Linked DNA regions of Oryctolagus cuniculus. The main gene of each other region encodes a partner of the protein of the gene in region 4 in a complex. Links are inferred from orthologs where the notes say so. Each region holds a gene or a part of one and is shown on either strand. Other genes may lie near its edges. The genes, in order: HJURP, CENPC, NTMT1 and CENPA.

Evidence for each region.
Region 1: the proteins of CENPA (region 4) and HJURP are in contact, whole or in part, in a crystal structure (PDB 3R45), measured with the Homo sapiens proteins. The link is inferred for Oryctolagus cuniculus from reciprocal best matches to the Homo sapiens genes CENPA and HJURP. Residues at the interface, in NP_001800.1 of Homo sapiens: Lys64, Leu65, Ser68, Arg69, Arg72, Asp83, Phe84, Asn85, Trp86, Gln87, Ala88, Gln89, Leu91, Leu92, Ala93, Glu96, Ala97, Ala100, Phe101, His104, Glu107, Asp108, Leu111, Leu112, Leu114, His115, Ile132, Glu136; in NP_060880.3 of Homo sapiens: Glu14, Asp15, Leu18, Lys21, Leu22, Ser25, Arg26, Arg28, Phe29, Arg32, Met33, Leu36, Lys39, Tyr40, Pro43, Phe44, Thr47, Pro48, Val49, Val50, Gln51, Met52, Ala53, Thr54, Leu55, Ile65, Trp66, Gly67.
Region 2: CENPA (region 4) and CENPC share a complex: the UniProt entries of both Homo sapiens proteins name them as parts of the CENPA-NAC complex. The link is inferred for Oryctolagus cuniculus from reciprocal best matches to the Homo sapiens genes CENPA and CENPC.
Region 3: the proteins of CENPA (region 4) and NTMT1 are in contact, whole or in part, in a crystal structure (PDB 5CVD), measured with the Homo sapiens proteins. The link is inferred for Oryctolagus cuniculus from reciprocal best matches to the Homo sapiens genes CENPA and NTMT1. Residues at the interface, in NP_001800.1 of Homo sapiens: Gly2, Pro3, Arg4, Arg5, Arg6, Ser7; in NP_001273725.1 of Homo sapiens: Tyr19, Trp20, Met30, Leu31, Gly32, Tyr34, Ile37, Trp136, Asn168, Ile175, Asp177, Asp180, Asp212, Glu213, Ile214, Tyr215.

The regions. Positions count from the first base shown.
Region 1 is NC_091434.1:5,615,488-5,622,024, reverse strand, and holds part of HJURP (Holliday junction recognition protein), read right to left. Parts: intron 5,567-6,537; coding exon 5,502-5,566; intron 4,444-5,501; coding exon 4,351-4,443; intron 3,854-4,350; exon of another isoform or gene 3,260-3,853; coding exon 3,193-3,259; exon of another isoform or gene 1,560-3,192; coding exon 71-1,559; exon of another isoform or gene 1-70. UniProt on the Homo sapiens protein: Centromeric protein that plays a central role in the incorporation and maintenance of histone H3-like variant CENPA at centromeres.
Region 2 is NC_091439.1:97,737,941-97,745,032, forward strand, and holds the start of CENPC (centromere protein C), read left to right. Parts: upstream 1-2,558; 5' UTR 2,559-2,827; coding exon 2,828-2,845; intron 2,846-6,130; coding exon 6,131-6,177; intron 6,178-7,092. UniProt on the Homo sapiens protein: Component of the CENPA-NAC (nucleosome-associated) complex, a complex that plays a central role in assembly of kinetochore proteins, mitotic progression and chromosome segregation.
Region 3 is NC_091432.1:232,537,868-232,544,979, forward strand, and holds the start of NTMT1 (N-terminal Xaa-Pro-Lys N-methyltransferase 1), read left to right. Parts: upstream 1-2,853; 5' UTR 2,854-3,036; exon of another isoform or gene 3,037-3,040; intron 3,041-3,113; exon of another isoform or gene 3,114-3,274; intron 3,275-5,218; exon of another isoform or gene 5,219-5,257; 5' UTR 5,258-5,391; intron 5,392-6,051; 5' UTR 6,052-6,081; coding exon 6,082-6,243; intron 6,244-6,693; coding exon 6,694-6,946; intron 6,947-7,112. UniProt on the Homo sapiens protein: Distributive alpha-N-methyltransferase that methylates the N-terminus of target proteins containing the N-terminal motif [Ala/Gly/Pro/Ser]-Pro-Lys when the initiator Met is cleaved.
Region 4 is NC_091433.1:176,095,462-176,102,535, reverse strand, and holds the start of CENPA (histone H3-like centromeric protein A), read left to right. Parts: upstream 1-2,237; 5' UTR 2,238-2,421; coding exon 2,422-2,515; intron 2,516-6,448; coding exon 6,449-6,555; exon of another isoform or gene 6,556-7,066; coding exon 7,067-7,074. UniProt on the Homo sapiens protein: Histone H3-like nucleosomal protein that is specifically found in centromeric nucleosomes. Replaces conventional H3 in the nucleosome core of centromeric chromatin that serves as an assembly site for the inner kinetochore.

The DNA.
Region 1 (6,537 bases), on a different chromosome or scaffold from region 4:
TGGAATTTGTCCAAAGGCACACGCAGGTCACTACCGCAGGAAGCCGCCAGCCCCAGCTACACAAACTCACCTTCTCTTCCCCGCTGGGTGGTCCGGGCCTGGGGAGTCCCAGGAGTCGGCCTGGGGTGCGCGCAGCTGGGGGTCTGGCAGCCTGCGGCGCTTCGCAGGGGACCAATGGTCGCCCCTGGTGGCTCCAGCAGACGCCCCGTCCTCCACTGCGCTCGAGCCCAGTGCGCCTCTTCTGTGCCACTGGGCTGACAGCGACAACTTCTGGGACCGGGAGTCCGGGTTCGGTTTTCCCAGGACATCGTCTGTCCGGTGCCGGGCCTGCGCACTTGCCGTGTCTGGAGACGCTGCGCCCGGCCGCGGTGCCGTGCTGCAGTACTCCCGATGCAGCTTGTCAAACTCTTCTTTAATCTCATCGTAACGATTCCTCCCGCAGCCCAGAGGTTCTGTCCTGGGTCCTGGAACAGCTCCGCCGGGTGACGCCGCCTTCCTAAGCGGGCCAGGGCTGCTTCCCGGGACAAGGCTCCTCGCCTGCTGCGGGCGGCCTGGGCTCGGCACGGGGCTGGGCCCTGCAGGCAAGGGAGAGGGACCGTCCTCTGGCCGGCCTTGGCCTGAGTCCACGGATCTGCCCAGGCGCTCGAAGGCCTCCCTCAACGTCTTGCCCTTCGCTCTCACAGACAGACCCGGCCTGTGGGTTTCGAAGCTCCAGGAACCCCCTGGGCTCACCGGCCCGCCGCTGTACAGGCCCACGGCCCAGGAGTCCGCGAGGCCCGTGTGGCGAGGCTGTCTGCCGGGGCTCAGGGCGTACTCCCGATGCAGTCTCTCAAATCGGACCCGGATCTCCCTGTAGCGCTCCCCGCGGGGGCCCTGTGGCGTTGCCGGTCCAGAGATGAGCTTCACAGGGGAAAGCAGCCACTGCAGCATCCCGAGCCTGCGCTCCCGGCCCAGGGCGCGCACCGCTCCGACGTCCGAGCCTGCCGGAGCCGAGTTCCTCCGTGGCGTCAGCTGCAGCTCCTTCCAGCCCGGATCGGACGTCTGCACCTGGGATTTGTTGCCTTCAAGACAAGCCCTTTCCAATTTAAAACCCGCCTTACGGCGAGAAACATCGAGTAGGTTCTCGCAGTCTCTCAGTGGTCCCGCACCCGGCTCCGGCTCCGGCCCCGGCAGGGGTGGGTGCAAGGAGCTCCCCCGGGAACGCCTGCCCGCCTCGCAGTACGTCCTGTTCAGCCTGCTCCTCCACCTGTGCCGCCGCCTGCAGCTCCAGGCTTGAAGCACAGACGCTCTGGTGGAGATGACGCACGCCGGCTTTGCACTCAGCAGCCGGCTCATGGAGCGCAGCATCCCCGCGTACAGCTCGCTGATGGTCACGTCGCACAGCTCCTCAGCCGCCCAGGACCGGCCGCTCCCGTCCGTCCCCAGGGAGCAGAGGCTGTCGTCTTGGTGTTCCGTGCCCGTGTCTGTGGAGCCAGGATGCAGGGGGCACTGCTCCTGGGGCGGCGAGGCCGGCTTAGCCGGGCCCCCGGGGCTGCTTCCAGAGACCCCACCACGGCACCCTGGGAGAAACACACAGTCACACGTCCCTGTGCAGACATCATGGAACTCGAGGCCGGACCGCGACCTTCTCAAAGCAACGATGACAATAATGACAATGACAATGATAATAAGAAGCCCCAGGTTCCGAGGGAGAGGTTCCTTTCCAGGCATCAAAACTAGACTCTTGCTTTCCCACCCCGGGACTGACCTGGAACCTGCTGTCTTCGAGAGCTCACTGGAAGGCAGGAGGTGCCCACACACTTCCCGCCAGGTTGGGCGGGAGTGAGCTAAGCATCCCGAATGCACTGCTTCGCGCAGCTGTGACTTCTGCAGGATGCAAAATGCTTTATGTATTGGGAAAAAAGTGTCACGCTCACTAAGCAGAAGGGGAGGAGGGCGAGAGGTGCCGCCCCTGCGGGGCTCCTGGGCTCTGGACAACCAGCCAGGTGAGCACGCTTTACTGCGGTGATGACCCAGAGGGATGGACATCGAGTCGGGGAGGGCCGGCGCTGTGGCGCAGCAGGTTAGCCCTCCACCTGCAGTGCTGGCATCCCATGTGGGCACCGGTTCAAGTCCTGGCTGCTCCACTTCTGATCCAGCTCTCTGCTATGGCCTGGGAAAGCAGTAGAAGATGGCCCAATCCTTGGGCTCCTGTACCCACATGGGAGACCTGGAAGAAGCTCCTGGTTTTGGCCTGGCCTAGCCCCAGCTGTTACAGCCATCGGGGAGTGAACTAGACGATGGAAGATGTCTCTCTCTCTCTGCCTTTCAAGCAAGTAAATAAATCCTTACACAAAAACAAGAACTGATGGGCACAGCTAAAGGACACGGAGGCCAGCCTGAGGGGCTCCCCAGGCCCAATCCAGGACCGCCGGAGCACTGGCCCGGACGCCAGCAACAAAACACGACATGAATTTAAAAACGGCCCGCGAGTCCTGATTCTGAGACAGTAAACACCTGAACCCTGAGCGTGCAGAGGAGACACAGTGAGGGGACAGCCCCCCTACGCAGAGCAAAGCTGACCACGGAGCCACCAGCCTTGGCCACCATCGCCACTGCACGCCAAAACCACTGGGTGGAAAAGGCCGCCACAGACGGCACCCAGGGCTCTTGAGCAGGCCCCACCTCAACTAAACCACCGGACCCAAAGGCCAGCAACGATGGGACAGGCTGGCCGGAACCTGCAGGGCTCACAGCACCACCCAGCGAGCGCGTGTGCCAGCAGTGCTCCCACGAGCACAACCCCAGGAAACAACCAGGCACCTCCACGCCCAGGGCCGCCCTGCAGAATGACAGGCCTGGACCGCTCCAGAGAGCCAATGCCGGGGGGTGCTGCGGGCGGGGGGGGGACAGCTGAACAGTGAGGGACCCACAACTCGACCCGCACACACACAGCCACACACACACACACGGCTACGACAGACGGGGCAGGTCCTGTCAGTGTCAGTGTTTCATGTCTACCATATGCTCAGCTTCTTACACTCCCCTGGGGGGTGCCCTGTTCTTAGGGGACAGTGTGCACATGGATGTGCGTCCACGTGCGCGTGTGCACAGGACGCAGCTGGTTTGACAGGAGGGTCCCTGTGGCGTGCAGGGCAGCCACGCCCACCGCACTGCTCCTGTGCCCGAGTGAAGGGGATGGGCCACACTCACCAGGGGCAGGCGTAGCCGGCCGGGCCAGGGTCTTGTACGTGTCCTTCCCGTCTCTGAGAGCTGCTCTCTGAAACGAAAGCCAACAATCGCGAGAGCTGTCAGGTGCCGAGGCCCTGGGCGCGTGGAGCCAGTGCAATGCCTCCCCCGAGGGCGGGGTAAGGAGCTGCTCCCCTTTCAACACACGGCGGGCAGCAGCGGGGCGGTGTGGACAAGCACGTGGCCGTGACACTCCCAGCAACATCTAGCAGTCCACATGGCTCCAGGGACTCCCTCCCCCCACGGGAGGGCTGGTGGCCTCTCTTCACCATCCACTGTGACAGCAAGCACCTCACGGCAGCTGGTGACGGGCGATGACCCCCGGGAGCTGCCCCGCCCTCCAGTCCCCTGGCCAGGTCACACAGCAACCGAGAGGACGCCACTCGCTGCGGGCGGTGGAGACAGGCCCCTCCAGGACCCGTGGTGCTGCCGCGGCCGCAGGCACGGCAGGACCTGTGCTGGGAGAGGGGTGCTCTTCATCGTGCCGGGCCCTGCCTGCCTGCTGGGAGCCAGGGCGTCCTCCTTGGTGTGAGTGACGTTGACAGAAGGCAGGAAGCTGAAGAGGTGACCCCTGTGTCCCTGCACTGCCAGGCTCCGTTCCGCGGGCAGAGCTCCGGGAGCAGCTGCAGGGTAACGGGCGCTCAGGCATCCAGGGGCCTCCTCCCTTCCCACCAGAACACGGACCCAGGGCAGCTGGGACGAGCCGGAGCCCCTCACACCAGGGAAGGGGGGCTCTGGTCCCTGACTGTGCAGCTCAAAGCCGCTCTGCCCAAGAGCTCGAGCCCCACGCACGGCCCCAGATTTCTGCAGTGGGCAGCGGAGGGCACACCCCCAGGGCTCCGGCCTCCAGCAGCTGCCCCGGTGGTGCTGCCCCAGGGCAGGGGAGGTCTCAGAGCCTGGAGCCGCCCTGGCTCGGAGCAGTAACACGGGCACAGCGCGTGCAGGGCGCCCTCCGCTTACGGGAGCCGTCCTGGCTCTGAGCAGTAACACGGGCACAGCGCGTGCAGGGCGCCCTCCGCTACGGGAGCCGTCCTGGCTCTGAGCAGTAACACGGGCACAGCGCGTGCAGGGCGCCCTCCGCTTACGAGCTCAGGGCACCCAGTGCACCAGGCAACACATTACCTCAAAAAACTCCGCGTCTTGCAGCAGTATATCCACTTGGGTCAAATACTTCCTTCTCAACTCAACTTCCAAAGGGCCCTGGGGCGCTGCGGGCTGACGGGGGAGAGGCGGTGTTGAGAAGGCTGACCCGGTGAGCTCTGGACTGACTGGCAGGCTCAGAACGCACAGCTCCCTCCACCGGGCTGTCCCGAGTAACCTCTCCTCCCACCGTGCCAGAGGTCCAGCCCCTCTGTGCTCCCCCGGCCCAGCAACCTGGCCCTAGGTCGGTCACCCAAGTACAGTTTAATAAATAAGTCTGGCGAGGTTTATGACAGCGTTCCTGGAACAGGAAAACACCCGGAACAACCTCCCAGGAGTTCAGGGCCCAGCGCCAGGAGTGAGCCCTGGCCTGTAAGGAGACCATGACCAGCCCAGGAGGCCAGGTGGCTGGCTCCACAGCCCTGCTCCACTCCTGCACCTGCTCGGGGGAGGCAGGGGTGTGGGACCAGGAGGTACCAGCCACTTGCTGGGGCAGGGCCAGCACCCCACTCCTCTGGCTGAGGACACCCTGCCTGTCCCCCAGCCCTGCAAGATATTTACAAAGTGCCCCCCCCCCCCCACGCTGAATCACTGCCTCTTCTCCTAAAAGTGCCACGTGGGTGCCTGGCCACAAACCTGCACCCAAAAGCAATCCCGTGGTAAAACCAGACGCCAGCTCTCACGGTGTCTGACGGCAGGCGACCGGGGCTGGGAGACGCCTGTGTGCACCCCACCCCCATTCCCGACCCGCAGGAAGGCGAGATGGCAGGTGGCCTCTGTGACCCGCGGGGCACAGGGGAGACCACCGTACAAACACCACTGTTGACGTGGTGCCAGCTCGCAGGTCACATGAGCTCGCGAGGGCCAATCTGGAAGCGCTGGCTAGAACACCCCCTGGTGGGTGACAGGCTCTGGGCAAGAACTCGGAACCCTGCATTCAAGCCTGGGGGCTCAGTCCAGGCAGGGGGGACCACGCTGCCAGGTGAGTCGCCCCACATCACTTAGAGCCACGGAAACCAGGCGTCACGGCCAGCCTGAGAGGGAGGCACGTGCTACCTCAGGGGGCCTCAAGGGGGAGCCAGAGAACGCGAGGCCTCAGGCCGCCTGCCGTCCCTGGCGCACACAGTTCTCACCACCACAGCCCGGGCAGCCGCAGCCTCCCGCTCCGGAGACGCATCCACATCGCTGCCTTTGGAGCCTGAAAGAAAGAAGGAAGGAAGGAAGGAAGTCGACGTCAGAGCTGCGGGGAGCCTGCGTGTTCCCCTCCAGGACGGTGCCTGTGCCGCCTGGAGGATGGAGCAGGTGCTACTGTGAAAACCTCACGGCCTCGGGAGCGGCCCTGAGGACGGGGCCCCGCGTGGCCGCCCACGGAGGGGGCGACCCTGAGGACAGGGCCCCGCGTGGCCGCCCACGGAGGGGGCGACCCTGAGGACAGGGCCCCGCGTGGCCGCCCATGGAGGGGGCGACCCTGAGGACAGGGCCCCGCGTGGCCGCTCACGGAGGGGGCGACCCTGAGGACGGGGCCCCACGTGGCCGCTCACGGAGGGGGCGACACTGAGGACGGGGCCCCGCGTGGCCGCTCACGGAGGGGGTGACCCTGAGGACGGGGCCCCACGTGGCCACTCACAGAGGGGGTGACCCTGAAGATGGGGCCCCGCGTGGCCGCTCACGGAGGGGGCGACCCTGAGGACGGGGCCCCGCGTGGCCGCTCACAGAGGGGGTGACCCTGAGGACGGGGCCCCGTGTGGCCATTCAATGAGGGGTGACCCTGAGGACGGGGCCCCGCGTGGCCGCTCACGGAGGGGGCGACCCTGAGGACGGGGCCCCGTGTGGCCATTCAATGAGGGGCGACCCTGAGGACGGGGCCCCGCGTGGCCGCCCACGGAGGGGCGACCCTGAGGACGGGGCCCCGCGTGGCCGCTCACAGAGGGGCGACCCTGAGGACGGGGCCCCGCGTGGCCGCTCACAGAGGGGGCGACCCTGAGGACGGGGCCCCGCGTGGCCGCTCACAGAGGGGCGACCCTGAGGACGGGGCCCCGCGTGGCCGCTCACAGAGGGGCGACCCTGAGGACGGGGCCCCGCGTGGCCGCTCACAGAGGGGGCGACCCTGAGGACGGGGCCCCGCGTGGCCGCTCACAGAGGGGCGACCCTGAGGACGGGGCCCCGCGT
Region 2 (7,092 bases), on a different chromosome or scaffold from region 4:
ATCCATTGATCTGATTTCTTTTTGTGCAGTCACTGATGTCTTCTTGCTTTGTTTAGGATAATGAGATTCATCTATAGTGTTGTTTTTTAAAGATTTATTTATTTAGTTGAAAGTCAGAGTTACACAGAGAGAGAAGGAGAGGTAGAGAGAGGTCTTCTACCCGTTGGTTCACTCCTCAATTGGGCGCAACAGCCGGAACTGTGCCAATCCAAAGCCAGGAGCTAGGAGCTTGTCCACGTCTCCCATGTGGGTACAGGGGCCAAGATCTTGGGCCATCTTCCACCACTTTCCTAGGCAGCAGAGAGCTGGATCAGAAGTGGAGCAGCCAGGACTTGAACCGGTGCCATATGGGATGCGCACACTGCAGGCTGCGACTTCACCCCGCTATGCCACAGTACTGGCCCCTTCATCCATAGTGTTTTTATTGCTAAGAGTACTACCCTGCACCAATGTACTAAAACTTGTTTATCCAACTCACCAGGACAGATGCTTGTATTATGTTGTGGTGTGGGATGGAATGTGGACTAATCTTTAAGTGGTTAAGTTCACTTTAAGTTCACTTGTGAATGTTTCTGTGCTGTGATTTCTATTTCTGTATGGAAGCTTGCAACTGAAGAGACTTGGTTAACCAAATACTTTGATGAAGGTCAAGGAGTTAACATAAAATATTGTTTGAACTAGTTTTAATATTTTCAAATTTTAAATGACCTAAAGTCCTAAGTAGCTACAATTTTTACTTCCCTTCCAAACTTAATTTCTGAATATTTTGTTTTCTCTGTATGTATCTAGTTACCTATACTATCACTGACTGATACATACACACACACACACACACACTCCTTACCTATGTCTGGTAGTTGTGCTAAATTATGTGCAATTCTATTTTTAGCATACTAAAACCATGATGGGGTTTTGGCCAACTGTACTAGAACAGATGGAGCTGAAAAATTTCTTTGGAAAATGTGGAGTTCCTCTGACTGTTTTCACAAGTACGCCACTCCATTTTCTCTCTCGAGTGCTTCATCTGCACCATCATTTGCGTCCTGCATTCTACAACAGCAAAACCGTTGCATTTCACCTTTCTCAAAACAATTGTGCAAGTTCCTGTTTCTGGTGGAAGTGGGATATAATTTTACATGTGGGACTAACATCTGTGATTGTGCTTGCTAAAATTTCTCACTGAGAGGCAAAGAGTGTAGCGATTAAGAGCCCAGTCCCGGGGGTGGGCATTTAGCCTTGTGGCTGGAAAGCCAGTTAAGAGTCCCAGGTCCAATACTGGAGAACCGGGATTCCATACCCAGACTCTGGGAGGCTGCGGTGACAGCTCAAGTGTTTCAGCCACTCCCAGTGGGAGACCTAGCCAGACTTCCCTGCTCTGGGTTTTGGCCCCAGCTCAGCCCCAGCCCAGCCTGGATCTCCCTGTGCACTCCTGTCCCCTTCAAATAAACAAAGAGTTTAAAAGAGTTCTAGAGTCAGAGTTTTCAAGTTAAAAGCCAGCTCTGCATAGTGGTGGCATCATCTTGGGCACCTCACCTAAGTCCCTTGTCTATAAAATCGAAACATGGCTCTCTCACAGGGGTGTTCTATATGCTTGAAATGCATGTGAAACATCTACAGAGCTCGACAGGTACTATATTTCCATGAATGTTAGCTTTACTATTCCAAATGTGACAACACTCAATTACACACATAATATATACCAATTGGTAAAATTGCCACATACAGTAAAAAAAACACCTCCATAATGATATAATAGCTTTATTACTGAAATTTATTTATTTACTTAGAAAACAGAAAACAGAGTGGTGGGGGTAGGGAGAGAGAGCGAGAGAGCGAGCGAGCAATATATCTCCCATCTGCTGGTTCACTCCCCAAACGACCACAACAGCCAGGGCTGTGCCAGGTTGAAGCCAGGAGCCAGGAATTCCAGCCAGGTCTCCCATTTGGGTGTGGGGCCCAAGCCCGCGGGCCACCCTCCCCCGCCCAGGTGCATTAGCAGGAAGCTGGATTGGGAACCCAGCAACCCCTCTTTTCCAGTATTCATAGGAATTGCCAGAATTTGATTCCAAAATCTCAATATTATTCCCATTTTACAGCCAGGAGAATTGAGGAACGGACAATTAGTAGAGTAGAAGCCAGACATTTGAACTTGGACTTCAGAGTTCATAACCCCTCTTTCTTCTCTAATACATATGTAAATAACTTCCAACAGGTGACAGCATTTGTTAAAGCAGTACAAGTTTTAAAAGACCATTAACTCCTGATTCATGAATTTATTCAGCAGGCCAACTCTTTGGAGTACCATTTTCTTGTAGTTATTAAATCATAACAATGGAACACAGTGTCCCAGACTTCACACACTAGTTAGGTAGGAGGAAGTCTTCAGAGCAGTTTAGACTCCTATTACATCGTTAAGAAAACGCCCGGAACAGCGCCACAACGCGGCGCTGGGTGGCACAGTCACGGAGGCCCCGCCGTCCCCCAAAAACAGCCCGCCCGCGCCACTCGTAGGCCTGAGAGCGAGGAACGCAGAGACGCGGCGGAGGGAAGGAGGGGCGGGCCCCTAACGGCTTTCTTACTATTGGGCGGCGCCGTACGCTTTGCGCATGTGCCGTCCGTTTCAAACCCCGGAGCGCGCGGGGGCTTCTGGAAGCGCGCCTTGATGGGCTTGCAGCAGCGAGCGCCCGCTGCCAGCTGTCTCTGGGGCTGTCGTGGGCGGTAGTGTCGCCGGCGGGCGGCCGGGTCGGTCCGCGCTCACACTGCCCGAGCCGCGGCCCGTGCGGGCGTCTGCCTCGGAGCCCGTGCGCGGGCGGAGCGGGGCCGGAACATGGCGGCGTCGGGGCTGGTGAGTGTGGGCCCTGCCCCTGCCCGCTGCGGGAAAGCGGCTGGGGCCCGGGGAGCCGTCGGACGGGCGCGGGGGGTGGTCGCAGGGCCGGGCCAGCGGCGCGGGCGTCTGCAGTCCGCTGCGATCGGCTGCCGATGGCCGGAGTTGACCGACTGCGTTGTTTGCTGAAGGTCTGGTGAGGGGAGCTGGGGCTGCGCCTGTGGTTCTCGTCAGGAAATCCAGTTTCCACTTTGCAGCTTCGCTCCGTTCCCTCCCCCGATTCCGTTCGTGCGCGGAGTGCAGGCCCTGAAGCAGCCTGAAGGTCCGCCTGCGTTGCAGACCGGCTGGTCTGGAGGATGAAGTTTGTCTCGAGATAATCAGACTTTCCCGTTTACTTAAGCAAAACGTTGCGCCTCGCGGGCGGTTTTGGAGGCCGATTTTCGTGGGACATGGGTTGTTGATGAAGTGTCCCCGAAGGCAGCTCTTAGGACCGGCGTGGGTGGAAGCACATCTTACTTCTGTGTGTCTGGACTCCTTGCTTTGTCTTTTCACAGGTTGCTTATGGTTCCTGTACATGTAAAACCCGTATCGTCTCTTCCTACACTGGTGTCTTCTAATCTATCCCCTCCTTTAGTGATGTCTCAGGGGGTAAACTTAAGTGTGCATGAAAGGGTAGGTTAGTGTGCAGGTTTCCAAGGAGCGCATGCGTTGTTTACGTTCTGCAGGGTCAGGGAAAAAGAAACAGTGACGCTGTTCTCCCGGGGGAGAGGAGGTCCTGTCCTAAGTGTAGCACTGTTCTAAGGTCTGACTTTGTGCCATACCCTGTTTAAGGACGAGGTGAGGGGAGTTGGCAGGGGGTCTGCAGCCCTTCCTGCACCGTAGTGGTTCCCAGAGGAGGGCAGCGCTGTCCGCTAGGCGGTATTTGTCGACGTCTAGAGGAAGTTTAGGGTGTCCCCAGGCGGGGAGGGGTAGGGCGATTGAGGGAGCGCTGCAGCGCCCAGAGTGGGTGGAGGCAGGGGTGCTGCTAAGCTTCTGTAGTGCGAGTTTAGGTCCCCGGGACGCAGAATCCTCCATCCCCAGAGGTCAGTGTGCTGGGGAGCGGGGACCGGGGGGATGGAGCTTGGGAAACCCCATTTGTTGTATCATATTTGCTTTGAGAAACATAATCTGGCCGGTGCCGTGGCTCAGTAGGCTAAGCCTCTGCCTTGCGGCGCCGGCACCGGGGCACCGGATTCTGTCCCGGTTGCTCCTCTTCCAGGCCAGCTCTCTGCTGTGGCCCGGGAGTGCAGTGGAGGATGGCCCAAGTCCTTGGGCCCTGCACCCCATGGGAGACCAGGAGAAGCACCTGGCTCCTGGCTTCGGATCGGTGCGGCGCCGGCCGTGGCGGCCATTGGAGGGTGAACCAACGGCAAAAGGAAGACCTTTCTCTCTGTCTCTCTCTCACTCTCCATTCTGCCTGTCAAAAAAAAAAAAAGTTATTAAAAAAAAGAATCATAATCTGACAGTGAAAAGAAATTCAAGTTTAAGTCCACTGAAAGATAAATTGAAATTGCTATTTGTGAGCTTGCTAAGTTTATTTTCAATGAAAATTTTACTGTTCCAACTTTTCTTTTTAAATGTATTTTATTTATTTGAAAGAGTTACAGAGAGAGAGAGAAAGAGAGGTCTTCCACCCACTAGTTCACTCCCCAAGTGGCTGCAACTGCTAGAGCTTTGAGCTGACAGATCTGGAACCAAGCAGGAGTTTCCTCTGGGTCTCCCACATGGGTGCAGGGGCCCAAGGACTTGACCGTCTTCCACTGCTTCCTCAGGCACATTAGCAGGGTGCTGGATCGGAAGTGGAGTAGCGGGGACATGGACCAGCGCCCATATGGGATGCTGGTGCTGCAAGCCGGGGCTTTAACCTGTTGCGGCACAGGCCGACCCCACCTTCTCTAGCTTTTAAAATTTATTTGTAAGGGCCGGCGGCGCCGTGGCTCACTAGGCTAATCCTCCGCCTGCGGCGCCGGCACACCGGGTTCTAGTCCCGGTCGGGACGCCGGATTCTGTCCCGGTTGCCCCTCTTCCAGGCCAGCTCTCTGCTGTGGCCAGGGAGTGCAGTGGAGGATGGCCCAAGTGCTTGGGCCCTGCACCCCATGGGAGACCAGGAGAAGCACCTGCCTCCTGCCATTGGATCAGCGCGGTGCGCTGGTCTCGGTGGCCACTGGAGGGTGAACCAATGGCAAAAAGGAAGACCTTTCTCTCTGTCTCTCTCACTGTCCACTCTGCCTGTCAACAACAACAACAACAAAAAAAGGAAAAAAAAAAAGCTAGATCTAAGAGCTTAGATGAATAAAACCCACTTTTTTAAAAAAAAATTTATTTGTAAGGCAGAGTGTCAGAGAGGGAGGGAGATTCTGGTCAGTAGCGCTAGAGTGCTTCTGGAGGCTCTGTTTTTGAGGCTAGGGGAAGAATGGCCTACTGTTCTGGGTAGAGATTTTTTTCCAGTTGTCTGTTACTCCTTTTTGTCACTCCTTGCATCCCTCAGATCTCAGGTTTCCCAGTACTACATGGTTATGGCTTTCTCCTGGGTAGATCAGCTTCCATCATCATTTAGTGCAATATTGCCTGAGCTTACTTTGGGCTGCTACTAATGTTATTCTGTTTTATCAGTTATCATGCTTTATCTCTTTTCAGTCTTCCAGAAGTTTGTTAAATTTCTCCCCATGTAGTCCTCTCTTTCCTTCTTTTTTCACTGTTGTTTGGTGCTGTTTTAGTTCTGCATTTTATATTTAGTGGGCACTTCCTTCAGGGAAGGGATATCAGGAGATATTAGTTAGCCAGCCTGGATTTTGGATGACCTGAAAGTTAGGTTTTTGATGGTGGAAAAAGTATGGGAGCAGGTGGAAGAAGAGGAGGAATAAAATGGAATGGACTTTGGGTGGAACTGGAAGTAGTACAAGGGTATTTCACAAAGTGTGTGGGATATACATATTATGAAAAACTGTATGAACTTAAAAGTATTTTGTACCAAAGTCAGTTAACTTATCTTTAATTTTATTTTCCATGAACTCTTTTGAAGTACCCTCATATACATGAAGTTTTTAAAAACAGTAGATAGAAAGTATGGTTCTCTTTTACTTACTTGATCCAAATGAATTTCCTTTTGTAGTGTTTATGCCAGGCAGTTAACAAATGCTTCGTGAATAAATGAAGAACTGAAATTTTCTGGCATACCCTTATTGGGGTGGAATTACTTTGAAGATAAGTGATACCTCATTATATTTTAAACAAAAAGATCAAATTGATGATGAACTTTTCTTTCAGGATCATCTCAAAAATGACTACAGACGAAGATTTTGCCGGCCTTCCAGGTGATTTATAGACTTAGCTTTTAAGATGATTTCTGTACCCATCATCAGAAAGTAGATTTTAAATAAAGAAAGGAAAATTATAAGTTATGACTAAAGTAGTAATATCCATGTCCACTTATTAAGTATAGACATCTTAGTTGCTTTATTCTAATAAAAATAACAACACAAGGAATATAATGGCTTAGTGGCAGGGAGAAAAGAAATTTACGTGTCAAAGTGGTGGACTAGAAAGAGGAAACTCAGTTCTGACTAAATGACATCCATGGGGAAAACACTGTGTTGAATGGATTGAATGGCAATATTATACAGATGTAGCTTATTTTCAGTAGGAAAAATGAAAAATTGTGCATGATGTCATTTATTTGCTGGGTACTTATTTGGGTTGCTTTGGTTCTTCCTTTAGTTGTAAAATCTCTAAATATTTAATAATGTTAGTGTAAACATCATGCTTTTTTTTTTTTTTTAAACAGGTATAGTTATAGACAGTGAGAGAGAAAGACAGAGAGAAAGGTCTTCCTTTTCCGTTGGTTCACACCCCAAATGGCCGCTACGGCTGGTGCTGCACTGATCCGAAGCCAGGAGCCAGGTGCTTCTTCCTGGTCTCCCATGAGGGTGCAGGGGCCCAAGCACTTGGGCCATTCTCCACTGCCCTCCTGGGCCACAGCAGAGAGCTGGACTGGAAGAGCAGCAACCGGGACTAGAACTGACGCCCATATGGGATGCTGGCACTGCAGGAGGAGGATTAACCAAGTGAGCCACGGTGCTGGCCTCAAACAGCATGCTTTTTAAAGTGAAGATGTTATTAACAAAAACCGAATGTTCATTGAGCCTTGATTTTGCTAGAGCTAGTGGAGCATAGAAATATGTTTTTTTGTTTTCCTATAAGGAGCTTACATTCCTATGGGAATGTATATG
Region 3 (7,112 bases), on a different chromosome or scaffold from region 4:
CCCAGAAGAGGACCGGCACGCGGGCCACGTGCGCCCTTCTCATTACTTCAAAACCCCGCGGGGTAGAGTTTGGTCTCAACCTCAGCCTTAAGGCCCGGGGCTACGCGTTTGCTCCGCTGGGCGCTCCCGCCCCGCAGCCAGGGCCCGGTGTTCGGGTCCCCCGGTCCGTGCGCCTGCCCCTTGGCGGGAGTCCAGTGCCATCGGAGCGCGCACAGCACGCGGAAGATGGGGGGGGGGGCTTGCTACGGCTGCTAGCGCTCCCCTGGGAACTAGGAATCCTGAAACTGTCTGCCCTAGTCCTATCCCCTCCCCCAGCTCTGACACGGGGGTCTCAGAGGCTGCTTTGTCCCCACCACACCGCCCCCACCCCCAAAAGCCCAGATTGTTGTCAGCTGCAAGGGGTCACTCTCACCTTGCCGGGGCTTCTGGTTGGGGTCAGGGCAGGTCTTGTGAGTTTAGAGCCCCCTAACAGGTGGGCCAGCCCCAGGAGAGCCCATCTCCCCTGCCAGGTCTCTCTGCCAGCCCCTCGCCAGTGCCCCCTGCACCTCTGCAGGGTCATTGTGATCCGCGCCCCACCCACAGCCATCTGAGGAACAGAGCCCCCAAGCCTGGGGTGGAGGGCGGGGCTTGGTCACAGGGGGCCCCTGAGATCTGGGAGCTCTGGTGGGTCCTGTCTGGGTAGCTATGCAAGTAGGACTTCTCCTTCTTCCTGGAGGCCAAGAACCAACCCCAAGTCCCTGCTCTGCTTCTCGGCTGTGTCATGATGCACAGGTTTCTCCCGCCCCAGGGCTCCGTGGGGGAACTCAGCGGGTAGAGAGGCAAGGGTGGGGTGGACAAGTATGTCACTGGCATTGTCCAAGTTCATAATCTGGGGCCAGCACTGTGACGTAGCGGGTAAAACCACCACCTGCGCGCTAGCCTCCCACATGGGCGCTGGTTCTAGTCCCGGCTGCTCCACTTCCGATCCAGCTCTCTGCTGTGGCCTGGGAAAGCAGTGGAAGATGGCCCAAGTGCTTGGGCCCTGCACCAAGGGCTGGGAGACCTGGAAGAAGCTCCTGGCTTTGGATTGGCCCAGCTCCTGGCTGTGGGGGAGTGTCTCTCCCTCTCTGTCTATAACTCTGCCTCTCAAATAATAAATAAATAAACATTTTTAAAAAGTTCATAATCTGAAAATGAAAAAAATGACTTCGTAGTTCAAGTTTCGGGATGAGGCCCTCGCAGGAGCTGGGCTCCGTGTTCTAGAACTGCTTCCCAGCTGGCCGCCAGTGCGTTCCTCGGGACTCAGAACTTTGCATTTAAAGGGTGAGGTTTCTAGATGGGTGAGGAAAATCAGACAAATCAGATGGTCTCTCTCCTTTTTTTTAAAGATTTATTTATTTTATTTGATAGGCAGAGCTAGAGTGAGAGAGAGAGAGAGAGAGATTTCATTGGCTGGTTCACTTCCCAAATGGCTACAATGGCCAAGGCTGGGCCAGGCCAAAACCAGGAGCCATGTGGGGCCCCCCCTGCTGCTTTCCCCTATGCGTTAGCAGGGACGGATGAGAAGTGGAGCAGCCGGGACCGGAACCGGCGCTCAGTGGGATGCTGCTGTCACAGGTGCTGTCTAGGGAGCCCCACAGCCCTCGTGTTCTGCATTTACTGAGTGCCTACTATGTGCGAGGCTTGGGAGAGGCTCCACGGCCAGGGGTCTGCCTGGCCTGGAGGCATCCTGCACTGAGCGTGCGCGCGCGTGTGGTGGGGGGTCCTGCCCCCCGCCAGGTAACCAGGCACGGCTGGGCCTTTGGGTGCAGGAGGGCTGGGAGCAGAACCCTCCCCAGGAGGATGCAGGCGCCAGCCCAAGAAGTTGCCCAGGGTCTACGCCCTTTTCCTAGAGACGGGGAAGAGGACGCTGGGGAGGGAGGCTCAGATCCTGGAACCCGCGTGTGCCCTGGGACAGCCCGAGGGGAGGTCCCCGCGGGTGTTCGTCAGCCGATGGTCAGCTCCCCCGCGCCCTGGCTCCCACTACAGGCACCTCCTGTGTGCTTCGCCAGAGGAGGCTGTGCGGCCGTGACCCCAGGGTGTGTGTCCACCTAAGGTGGATGTGGCGTGACCACAGCTTTCCTTTCCCGAGTTCTGGGCTTTGCCAGGCGTGATGTCAAGGCTGCACCCTGACGGCATCAGCACCGCTCACGGCAGAGCAGGGCCCTGCAAGCCCGCTGCCTCGGGACCGGTCCAGAATGTCAGAAATGGGCGACTTTAAACAAAAATGCCAGTTATCTGCTGCAAAGGCAGAGACAGACCCGGACCCACAGACCTGTCGCTGGCTCATTCCCAAACGCCTCCCCCACAGCCAGGGCCGGGCCAGGCTGAAGCCAGGAGCCCTGAACGCCACCCATCCGGGTCTCCCACGGGGGCGGTAGGGGCCCAGCCACTTGGGCCACCAGCTGCTGCCTCCCAGGGCTGCACATCAGCGCGGAGGGGGAGCCCGGAGTGGACAAGGGCTCAGACCCAGGAGCTCCGATGGGGGACGCGGGTGCGCCAAGGCCAGCCTCGCACCGCCAACTTTACGCCCTGGAAATGCTTATTTGGGCTGGAAACCCCTTAGCTCCGCCAAGGGAATTCCTTCCTTCTCTCTCTCTCTCTCTCTCTCTCTCTCATCGCATATCACTTTAAGGTGCCAGTGGGGATGGGCTGCACCGAAGACAATGGCTTCTCTCCCTTTCTCCTCAAAGGAGAGCCCACAGAATTCTCGTCCTCACAAGTCCAGACGGGCGCGGAAAGACGGCCACGCCGCGCGAGCCCCCCACGGCCCGCAGCGCACCCGGAGCCCGCGGGGCGGGGCGAGCCGGCCGCGGGCGGAGCCAGCTGCGGCCCCGCCCCGTGCCCGGAAGTGACGTCGGCGGACAAAGGCAGCGCGCGCCGCCCGCCGTTGCGGCTGGTCGTGGAGTGCCGGAGCTGCGGCGGGTCCGTGGGGTCGGGGAGGGGGTCTTCGCCGCCGCCGCCCTCCTGTCCTCGTCCCCGCCCTCTCCTCCTGCGCCCCGGGAGCCCCCGCCCGGGGTGAGTAGCGCGGTGCGGTGCGGGGCGGCGAGGCCCGGCTCGTCACGTGACCCCGGCGCGGGCCCCACGTGCGCGTCCCCGGGAGGCGGCGGGGCTGACCTGGGCAGGGCCGGGGCAGAGGGGGCCGGGGCCGCGGCGGAGCCCCTCCGGGCAGTGGGGCTCCGGAGGGCCGCTCCCCGGCGTGGGCGTGGGCAGCGCGGCTGCTGTCGTGTTTGACCCCGGCCCGGCCGGGGCCAAGGTCAGCGTGCTTTCGGGGAGGCGGCCGTGTCCGGGAGCCCAGGCCGCGCTGCCCAGCGGCCGTGTGACCCTTTCTCTCGGTCCGCACAGCCCGGGCGTGGCGGAGTGGCCGCGGGTGGGGAGCGTGGGATGATGACCCAGGGGGCGGGCCGAGCCCCGGGAGGGACCTGGGCGCCCGTGGCTCCCTTCGGGGGCTGCCCTGGCGCTCCGGCCCTGCGAGGGGCCCCAGGCCGCCCCGGCCACGCCGTCTTAGCGGTGCCCGGCGCTCGCGGTTTGCGGGGAATCTCAGCTGCGGGGAATTTGGCCTCGGCCTTTCAGCTTCTTCGTGCTCACTTTTTAAAAATTTATTTATTTGAAAGTCAGAGAGAGAGGTAGAGACAGGGACAGAGAGAGAGAGAGGTAGAGACAGGGACAGAGAGAGAGAGATCTTCCGTCCGCGGGTTCACTCCCCAGATGGCCGCAATGGCGGGAGCTGGGCCGATCCGAAGCCAGGAGCCAGGAGCTTCTTCAGGGTCTCCCACGCGGGTGCAGGGGCCCAAGGACTCGGGCCATCTTCTGCTTTCCCAGGCCACAGCAGAGAGCTGGATGGGAAGTGGAGCAGCCGGGACCAGAACCGGCGCCCATACAGGATGCCGGCGCTGCAGGCGGCGGCTTTGCCCGCTAGGCCACAGCACCGGCCCTGTGCTCACTTCAGCCTTCCCGGAGCCATGCAGCCGAGGGAGAGTGACGCCCGGGGTCCGAGCGAGGCTGGCAGACCTGGCCTCTCCCACCCTGCGGGGCCCTGGCAGGTGGGCCCCTGCCCGCCTCTGATCAGGCCCCGCCTGCGGTCGTCTCCAGCCCACAGGCTTGGGGCGCGGGTTAGAGACCCTGCGCCCGAGCCCTCGGGGCAGGCGTGTGAGCGGCCGCCCTGGCGCACTCCTAGCGTCTGCGTGAGTGGATTTCCTGTACGTCTAGGCATCCCGTCGTGTGAGGCTTTTGGTAAAGCAAAAAATCGCTGTCGGGAAGGGCCTTCGGCGTCCCCGTCCTGGGTGCTGGGGATTTTCTTAGATGTGGGGAGCGGCCAGAGCTGCGCGGAGCTCACGGTCTCCCGCGTTTAACGGCCGCTCGGCGAGTGGCGGACTGGCTGCAGGTGCTGCCCTCTGGGTACAAGGCCCCTGGACCTGGGTGGGCGCGCCCCCTGCCTCAGGGCGCGCTGGCTGCACGGGGGGGGGGGGGGGGGGGCCATCAGTGTCAGCAGCACTCGCACGCTGCCTGCCCTGTCCCTGTGACGGGTGTCGTGGCCGCCGGCGCCTCTGCCGCCTCAGGTGCCGGCGCCTGGGGAGGCGCTGAGGCGCTCCGTCTCCGTGTGCCGCCAGCTGTGCACCCGGGCGCGGGGGCCCAGCCTCTGGCCCGTCTTGTCCTCCGTAGGCTCAGCCACACTCCTCTGCCGCTGCCGTGCCCCCACCCCCGCCCACCGTTCAGAAAGGGCCCCTCCGTCCTTGGGCTCTCCGACCCCGGGAACCCTCGTCTTCCTGCCGTGGGTTCCAGTTGGTTCCGATTTTCTTCCTCAGTGCGGACTGCAAGCAGAGGGGGCCCGTGAGCCCACCACCGCACCCAGAATGGTGCCCTGACCTTGCCAGTGTCCTGGGAAAGACGCCGTCTTCCCACTGGCCGGTGGGAGGGGCTGGTGGGGCCCCCTGCCTGGCCACGTGGCTGGTCTCCCTCACGCATCAGCGTCCACCCCTGCAGGCTGCAGAAGCACAGATCTGTCTCAAGTTCACTGCTTTTTTTTGTTTGTTTAAAGATTATTTTTTGGAGAGGTAGAGTTATAGAGAGAGAGAGGGAGAGACAGAGAGAGAGGTCTTCCATCCGCTGGTTCACTCCCCAAATGGCCACAACGGCCAAGGCTGGGCTGATCTGAAGCCGGGAACCAGGAGCTTCTTCTGGGTCCCCCACGCGGGTGCAGGGGCCCAAGGAGTTGGGCCATCTTCCACTGCTTTCCCAGGCCATAGCAGAGAGCTGGATCAGAAGAGGAGCAGCCGGGACTCGAACCAGTGCCTATATGGGATGCTAGTGCCGCAGGTGGCGACTTTACCCGCAACGCCACAGCACCAGCCCCAAGTTCATTGCTCGTTAAAGGTAAAGTCTAAATTCTAAACTAGACCCACAGTGGTCCTCTGGGGGGAGGGGGGGGGTCTATTTTTTTTTCTTTCTTTTTTGAAAGCCAGAGTTAGAGAGAGAGAAAGCTTCTATCTGCTAGTTCACTCCCCAAATGACGCTAGCAACCAGGTCTGAGCCAGCAGCTCCACCCTGTCTCCCACGTGGGTCCAGGGCCCACGCACCGTCTCCTGGGTGCATTAGGAAGCTGGGTCCGGAGCCAGGCAGCCGGGCTCCAGCTGGCACTGGGCTGCGTGCTCCGCCCGCCCTGTCCTCTGGGAGCTGCAGCCCCTCTGCCTGGCCAGCCACCGCTAGGGGGCGCCCTTCCCGCACCTCACTTGTGTGGGTCCCAGGTGTGGCTGCTTTTCTGCCTGGCCGTCTCCCGCTCATGACTGGGGTGGGAGGGCCAAGGGCTTCCCGGGTCAGCAGGAGTGTCCACAGCCGGGCCGAAGCGTCCTGCCGCGTCCTCCTCTCCCTTAATCCCGGGTTCTCTGCTCTCCGGGGCCAGAAGCCACGGAGTCGGGGTCACGCCGAGGATGGCGGCAGAGGCCGGACACTGGGCCTCGCTCTGATTTGCGGGAGGGAGCCCGCGCTGCCGGTGTGGGGCGCCTGGCGGGGCGGCTCACCCCTCCCCCCCCTCAGGAGGGGCGCTGAGGCGGGGCTGGCGCCAGCATGACGAGCGAAGTGATCGAAGATGAGAAGCAGTTCTACTCCAGGGCCGAGACGTACTGGAGGCAGGTCCCGCCCACGGTGGACGGCATGCTCGGGGGGTACGGCCACATCTCCAGCATCGACATCACCAGCTCCCGCAAGTTCCTGCAGCGGTTCCTCAGGGTAGGCAGCTGTGCTGGCTCCGTGCGGGCCGCCGGCACCTCTGGGCGCCTCCCGCCACAGGGCCGTGGCCAGCGCCGCCTGTGGTGCTGGCCGTCAGGTTCCCGGGTGGAGCGGTGGCCGTCCTCTGCTGCACAGTGCTGCCCGCCCCTCCTCCCTCTGTGGTCTTCGGGGAGCACCGGAGGCTGCTGCTTGCCCTGCCCTCCCTCCCCTCCCCTCCCCTCTCCCCCTTCCCTCCCTCCCCTCCCCTCTCCCCCTTCCCTCCCTCCCCTCCCCTCTCCCCCTTCCCAGCCTCTGTCCCCTCGCTGGGGTCCCAGGAGCCAGGAGACCAGTGCACCGAGTTGTCCCACTGGTGTGGGAGGGAGCCCCCGCCCTCCCCGCAGGCGATTCGTGGCCCCTGCCGAGCCCACGAGGGAGGCCCCTTGCTAGGAGGCTGCCCGCTGTGCTCTGCAGGACGGCCCGAACAAGACGGGGACGTCCTACGCGCTGGACTGCGGCGCTGGCATCGGGAGGATCACCAAGCGGCTGCTCCTGCCGCTCTTCCGAGTGGTGGACATGGTGGACGTGACGGAGGGCTTCCTGGCTGAAGCCAAGACCTACCTGGGCGAGGAGGGCAAGAGGGTGCGCAACTACTTCTGCTGCGGCCTGCAGGACTTCAGCCCCGCGCCCGGCTCCTACGACGTCATCTGGATCCAGTGGGTGATAGGTGAGGCCCCGCCCACCGCTCAGGCTCCCCGCGGGCCTTGGGAGCTGGGTCCTGCTCCTGTGGCCCTGCCCGGGCCCTGCGGAATGCCTGTCGCTGCCCACTGCGGGTAGTTCTTGTTGAACACAATTCAAGATTTATTTGAAAGGCAGAGGGACAGAGAAGCAAG
Region 4 (7,074 bases):
GGAAAGATTATTAACAGAACAATACCATGAGAGTCTACACAGTGTGGGGACTGAGTAGACGATAGCACCAGGTACCTGGGTTCAAATCCCAACTCAGCTCTGAGTCTGCTCCCTGCGTGGCCCCACCAAGGCCTTGGTTTCCTTATCTGCAACACTGGCATTAGAAAGTCTTAGCAGGACACGGGATTGGCTTAGTGGGTTAGGGGCCTGTTGGGACATCACGTCCCACAACAGAGGGCCTGGGTTCCACGGCTGCCACCGTTCCTGACCCCAGCTTCCTACTCAAGCCGACCCTGGGAGCAGCAGGAGATGGTGCCAAGTGGCTCAGTTCCTGTTACCCGTGTGGGAGGCCTCGGTTGAGTTCCTGGCTCCCAGCTTTGGCCTGGGCCCAGCCCCAGCTGTTGTGGGCATTTGAGAAATAACCCTACAGATGGAAGTCTCTCTCTCTAGCCTTCTCTCTCTGACTTTCAACTCAAATGAAAATAAATAAAATACGAAATCCCACCTGAGGTTGTTGAGAGGCTCAGGCGAGTGACTACGTGAAGTACTTGGAGGAGCGCCTGGCACTGTGTCCACACTCGGCAGAGGCTGCCGGTCGTGGGACTTGCACGTTGTGCCTTGCTTCCTCAGCCTTTACAAACTGCTGGGGACAGGAACCATGTCCCGAGTACCCATGATCCTTAGCACCTCACACCCCTTACACTTCACTCATAACAGATGCGGAACGCGTCTTAAATGGATCTGATCTGCAGATTTTCATAGATTGTCCTTTCAACGCGCTTACGCTATTCGTCCTTCTTTTAAATGCAGGAGCTGGAGTTTTGGTTTTACTCCAATCACAAAAGACAGAACAAGAAGAAAAAGGGTAGATGAAGACCGGCAGCTGGTCAAGCAAAAGTTCAGGTTAACAGGCCTGGCCCCAGGCAGAGGGGCAGGTGGAAGTGAGTCCCTACAGCAGACTAAGCCAGGCTGCTCTCTCCTCGCTGGGATCTGGGGCCCCGGCCTGCTGTGCCAGGTGTGCTGTCATCCATCCTGGTCTCCCGCGTGGATGCCAGGGGCTCGGGCACTTGGGCCTTCCTCTGCTACCTTCTCAGACGCATCAGCAGGGAGCTGGATTGGACGTGGAGCAACTGGGACTCAATCCGGCACTTCTATATGGCATGCCATCCTGGCAGGCAGCGCCTGGTGGCTTAACCCTCTGCGCGAAGGTGCAGGCCCCGGTTCATCCAAGTTTCTGCATGGGTCAGAATTTCCTTCCTTTGTCGGGCTGAGCATTGCACTGTACATACTACGCTTCGACCTTTGAGCTATTGTGAACAAAGCTTGGGTGTGCAAAGCCCTGTCCAAGCTCCCGCTCTCATTCCTTTTGGATGTACAGCCAGAAGCGGGGCAGCGGGGCTGCTGGCTCACGGGGAAACGGTTTCCTTGTTTTCAGGAACCACCACACTACTTTGCACAGCAGCTGCCTACGGTTTTGTATGGCCCCATCAGCAGCGCCTGAGGGTCCATGAAACCACTGATTTTATAACCAGCAATTTTCCTGATTACAGTGCATGTTCACTGTAGCACATTTTAGGAAAATCCAAGACAGCAAAATGAGGAAATTAAAATTCCCTCTCCTAAGCACGGAGACACGACCGGAATTCGTGTTGTTCCCCACAGACAGGCGAGAGATCGCTTCCCTTGGGGCGAACCCGTCCCCACGGTCCTAGACTGGCAATGACGCCTGCCTGGCCGGACCCCGGCTCAGAGCGCCCGGGCCTGGCCGCCCCCACGACCCTCACCCTCTGTCACGGACACGCGGTGGCGCTGGCCTCGAAGCCCTGCCCCCCAGGGAGGGACACAAGCGCGACAGGAGGCTGTCACGTTCGCTACGGGTCTGTTGGCTCATCTTTAAAGCCCTCTTAGGGCTGAGAAAAGCCTGGGCGAAAGCTGGAGGGACAGACTCTACAAACGCACCATCCACCGCTTCCTTTTCAGATCAAAGAGCCCTTGAAGCCATCCCTCAAGGACAGGCACTCCCACCAAGCAAAGACCTGGAGAAACCCCGCCTCCCTTTACTTTCCCAACCTCCCATTGGTCGATTCTGTCGTCAATCCGTCATGTTTCCCCGCTCTCTGCCTATCAGCGCCGCTCTCCGTGTCTCAGCTCGTGTTCTCATTGGTTCTTCCCGCGGTCGTTCTACCCGGACGTTCCAGAGACAGCCACTGGGAGTCGCTGGATTGGGGTTTTAAAAAACGCCGGCGATGGAGTGGGCGGAGCGGGCGATTTGAACCGGAGGTGCCGCAGCCTACGCCGGAGTACCGACTCCTAGAGCCACACGGGCGGCTCGGGCGGTTGTCCGGTTCCCTGCGGGCGCCAGCCTTCCCCCCCGGGGCCGGGAGGTCCGAGCAGAAGCCTCGGGGCCGGAGGCGGCCCGCCATGGGCCCGCGCCGCCGGAGCCGCAAGCCGGAGGTCCCGAGGAGGCGCAGCCCGAGCCCGACCCGCAGCCCCCGCCGGCGGAGCGTCTCCTTAGGTAACCGGCCGCGGCCCTTCCCTGGGGGACGCGGCGGGGGTGCCGTCCACGCGAGGTCTCGGCGCCACTCCGGGCCCGCTCTACGGCTCACGGGACGCAGGCGCAGACGGGCCGGGTGCCCTGGGCACGGCCACGCGCGCGCGCTCGTGCACGCTCTGGACCCGAGTTTGTCCACTTTGAGCGAGGCTACGTCAGGCCTTGAACCGCGCCCGCCCCGACCCCGTCCGGACGGCGTGACCCCCAGTTGCTGGAGTGTGCGCTGGGGCGGGGTGGGGGGCTCGGGACCCTGCAGCGGGCCGTGGCGCGGGTCTGTCCTACACGTGCTGGCGACAGCAGCTTTCCCTCTTCTCCAACTTGCTGCATAGCCAGGAGCAGGGTGGGACACGTGTGTAGAGGTTACTGCCTTTTAGGACGTGGTGCTGTGAGAGTGGGACATTCTTCCCTGAGACCGGAGTGCTTAGTCCTGAGTGCTCCTTAATCCTGACAGTCCCGCAGTCGGAACCTTAGGTAGACTACTATGTCCTGCACGTGGTCAAGTCCGTGTCCGCCTTTTTCAAATTCTCACCTTTTATTACTTAGTGTATGGCATTAGTGAGGCCCTGAGACTAACTGTAAGAGCAAGGGTTTTGCCCGTTTTTGTCTTGTTGGGAATTGTATTTATTTATTTAAGAATGTATCTATTTGCAAGGCAGAGTGACAGAGGAGGAGAAGCAGAGAAAGAGGTATATTGATTCCACTCACTGGTTCACTCCCCAAGTGGCTGCAACAGACAGGGCTGGGCCAGGGTGAACTGGCCTGGAACTCCATCCGGGTCGTCCTCCTGGGCTGCAGCCACCTAAGCACTTGGGCCATCATCGTCTGCCTTCCAGGAGCCTTGGCAGGGAGCTGGATCGGAAGTGGAGCAGCTGGGGCTGGAACAGTGCCCTGATGGGATGCTGACGGCCCTTGTTTGTAATTTTAATGGGAATATCAGGTGTGATGTTTGCTTTTGCTGTCCAATGTAAAAAATGCCTCTTCTACTCCTGGTTAAATGGAAACTTTTAGCTCAAGTGGGCACCCAACAACACTGCCCTTGTCTGATAGCCTTGCTTTTTCGTTCTCCACGTTGGCAGTTCCATTTCTTCCTCTCCAGCTTCCTGCAGCACCACCCTTCCACTGTTCGCTGACAGTGGCCCCGCTGGAGTGTCCTGCTTTTCTGTCAAAAGCCACTCCTGGGGTCAGCGCTGTGGTGTAGCAGGCTAAGCCTCTGCCTGCAGTGTGGTATCCCGTATGGCCGTCAGTTCATGTTCCAGCTGCTCCACTTCCCATCCGGCTCTCTGCTGTGGCCTGGGAGAGCAGTGGAGGATGGCCCAAGTCCTTGGGCCCCTGCACCCGCGTGGGAGACCCTAAAGAAGCTCCCGGTTCCTGGCTTTGGATTGGCCCTGCTCTGGCCATTGCAGCCATTTGGGAGTGAACCAGCAGCTGGAAGACCTTTCTCTGTCTCTTACTCTCTCTGGCTCTCAAATTAGTAAAATCTTTGTATATGTATATTTAAAAAGCCACAGCTCCCATCCATATGCACCTGCAGAGGGTCTTTCTGTTGTCTTCTCCTGCGCTTAAAATTAAACCCAGACTCACATTGGCTTTGGCGGATCTGCTCTAGTGTTTGCAATCTGAAGGACAAGGGCAGGGGGGTGGGCATTTGGCGCGGTGGTTAGAGACGGAGCTTGCGTCCCACATCAGAGTGCCTGGGGCCCAGAGTCTCAGCTCTGCTTTTGATTCCACCTTCCTGTTAACATGCACCTTGGGAGGCAGCCCGTGACGGCGCAAGGACTTGGTCCCTGCCATCCATGAGGGAGACCTGGATGGAGGTCCAGGCTGCTGGCTTTGGTCTGGCCCAGCCCTGGGCTGCTGTGGACATTTGGGGAATGAACCAGCAAAGAAAGTTAAAGGACAGAGGGAGTCTGCCTCCCCTTCCTGTCGCTGCCTTGCAGATAAGTGAACCTTGAAGAGCAGGTGTTTCCCTGACGCCGCGTTTCCAGTCTTCCTGGCGCCGGGATCCCTCCACTTCCTGTAACGGCTGCCCTTGTAGAGAGGCTTGTTTAGTGTCCACCCACTGTGTCTGTTCCCCATCTCCCAGCCACCCTTGCACCCATTCCGCTCTGACCCCAGAGCCGCTCCCCTCCGGTCGCTGTCCCCAGCTGCACTGACGACGCTGCCAGGGCTAATCCACACCTCTGTGCCTTCCTCACCCAGCCCCTCAGAGCCCTGCGACACCCTGCTCCTGGCTGCCCGGCCGGCCCTGCGCACGCTCTGGCGGTTCCCAGTGTCCTCCACGCTGGTGCCGCCCTCTGCGGCTCCTTGACCGTGGCCAGCAGGGCTGCCTTCCCTTTCTGCCTCCTCCCCGGGCGCCCGTGGCTGCTGTCAGACTTCTCCCGCACCCTGTGCTGCTGCCTTCCTACCTGAGTGCCCTGGGCGAGTCACACACATCCCAGCCCCGACGCCTGCAGCCCCTTGTCCAGTTGCCCCGTTTTGGTAAATGGCACCGCCACCCACCCAGGGTTCAAGCCAGAAGCAGGGAGACGTTCTTTTCTGTCACCCCCATATCCAATCCAAAGGCAAGTTCAAGCAGTTCTGCCTGCGCACTGCGTCTGTCATCACCCCACTTGTCTCCATCTCCGCCCCGAGCAGCCCAGGGCAAGCCGGCAGCCACCACGTGGGAGCCTGCTGACCACTGCTCTGCTCCATCCACCCCTCTGCAGCTCTCCGCACACGGCGCCAGAGGGTCTTATTTTTATTTTTTAAGATTTTATTTATTTATTTGAGGGGTAGAGCTACAGACAGAGAGAGGGAGAGACAGAGAAAGAGGTCTTCCTTCTGCTGATTCACTCCCCAAATGGCCGCAATGGCCGGAGCTGCGCCTATCTAAAGCCAGGAGCCCGGAGCTGCTTCCAGGTCTCCCACATGGGTGCAGGGGCCCAAGGACTTGGGCCATCTTCTACTGCTTTCCCAGGCCACAGAAGAGAGCTGGATTGGAAGAGGAGCAGCCGGGACTAGAACCGGCGCCCATATGGGATGCCAGCACTGCAGGCAGAGGATTAACCTACTGCACCTCAGTGCCAGCCCCTGAGAGGATCTTTAACCCGGAAGTAGATCAGCTTTTCCTCTCTCTTCCTGAACACTTTCCCTGGCTTCCGGTCACTTTAGGATTAAATCCCAGCTCCTTATGTTGGCGTTTCAAGACCCAGCTGCTGCATGTTCTGATTTGTGAAATTCATTTGAAAGACAGAGCTGTCATCCACTGGTTCACTCCCCAAATACCTGCAAGGGCGGGGGCTGGGCCAGGTCGAAGCCAGGAGCAGGAAACTTAATCCAGACCTCCCTCATGGGTGGCAGGGACCTACCCCTTGAGCCATCACCCACTGCCTTCCAGGGTGCCAGGCTCAGGTGCGGAGCTGGGACTTGAACCCCAGCACTGTGGTGTGGCAGTGCTCTCCACACACAGCTGACTGCATCTCTGATCCCGGCTCTTCCCCGTGAGCTTTCCCTGGTCGCTTCTCACGTATTCGCATCACGGATTTCCTGTCTCGCCCCTCTGAGGTCATCGCCTGTATTTAAGGGCTCTCCTTTCTCTGCTACCTCAGATTCCTCCGGAGTGGTTTTTCTGTTGAGTTGGGTTCCTTCCGCTCGCGGTGTCCTTTCTCAGATCGTGTGGTGACCTTTCGTCGTGTCCCTCTTCACCTTGTGTGACGCCGGGCCTTGTGTGTGAAGGCTGCTGATGGGCGGTGGAGACGAGGCGGGGTCAGCCTGTGCGTCCTCCCTGTTCCTGACCCCACCCGGGTCAGCTGCCTGGCTCAAGCCCCTCTGGTGGCCTCCCCTCCCCCACCTTCTCAATGCTCTGTGTGTGCTCCCCCACCCCGCTTTCCCCTGCTGACCCCGCGCACACCTCTGCAGGCGCGGCCTCGCAGCACAGACGGCGGCGGCACGCGTGGCTGAAGGAGATGCGCAAGCTACAGAAGAGCACGGACCTGCTGCTGAGGAAGCTGCCGTTCGCCCGCGTGGTGAGCTCAGGGCGCCCCGGCCCGGCGTGGCCCCTGTCCCTCACCTTCTCCCCCTGCGGGGGCCCTTGGTCTGGACCCACACCACCTTCGCTTCTCCACAGCTCCCCCACACCTTTGAAGCTGTCTTACTCTTTGTAACAGTTGTGTGTATGGGCACTGTGAGAGCTCGGGTCCACGCCTGTGTGTTAGGGTGGAGTCAGGGTTCCATCTCCTGGGGCAGGTCTCGCTTCTTTGTGTTGGGAACCTCGGGTCTTAGCGTCTGAAACTGTCTTTGAGTATGGAAAACGGAGCGCTGTCACCCATCCCTCGTGCTTTGGTCCCTTTTGCTGCCCTGGGGGAGTGCAGCAGGCCGACTCCTGTGCCCCAGAGGCAGCCCTGCTCCGCCCCAGGCACGTCCTGAGGTTGAGGGCCAGGAAGGACCAGTGGATTCCCTGGAGACTCTTGGAGAGAGCCCAGCTCTCCGAGCCTCTCGTCTGTTACTGCCTACTCCCCCATCCCCACTCCTCCACAGGCCAGAGA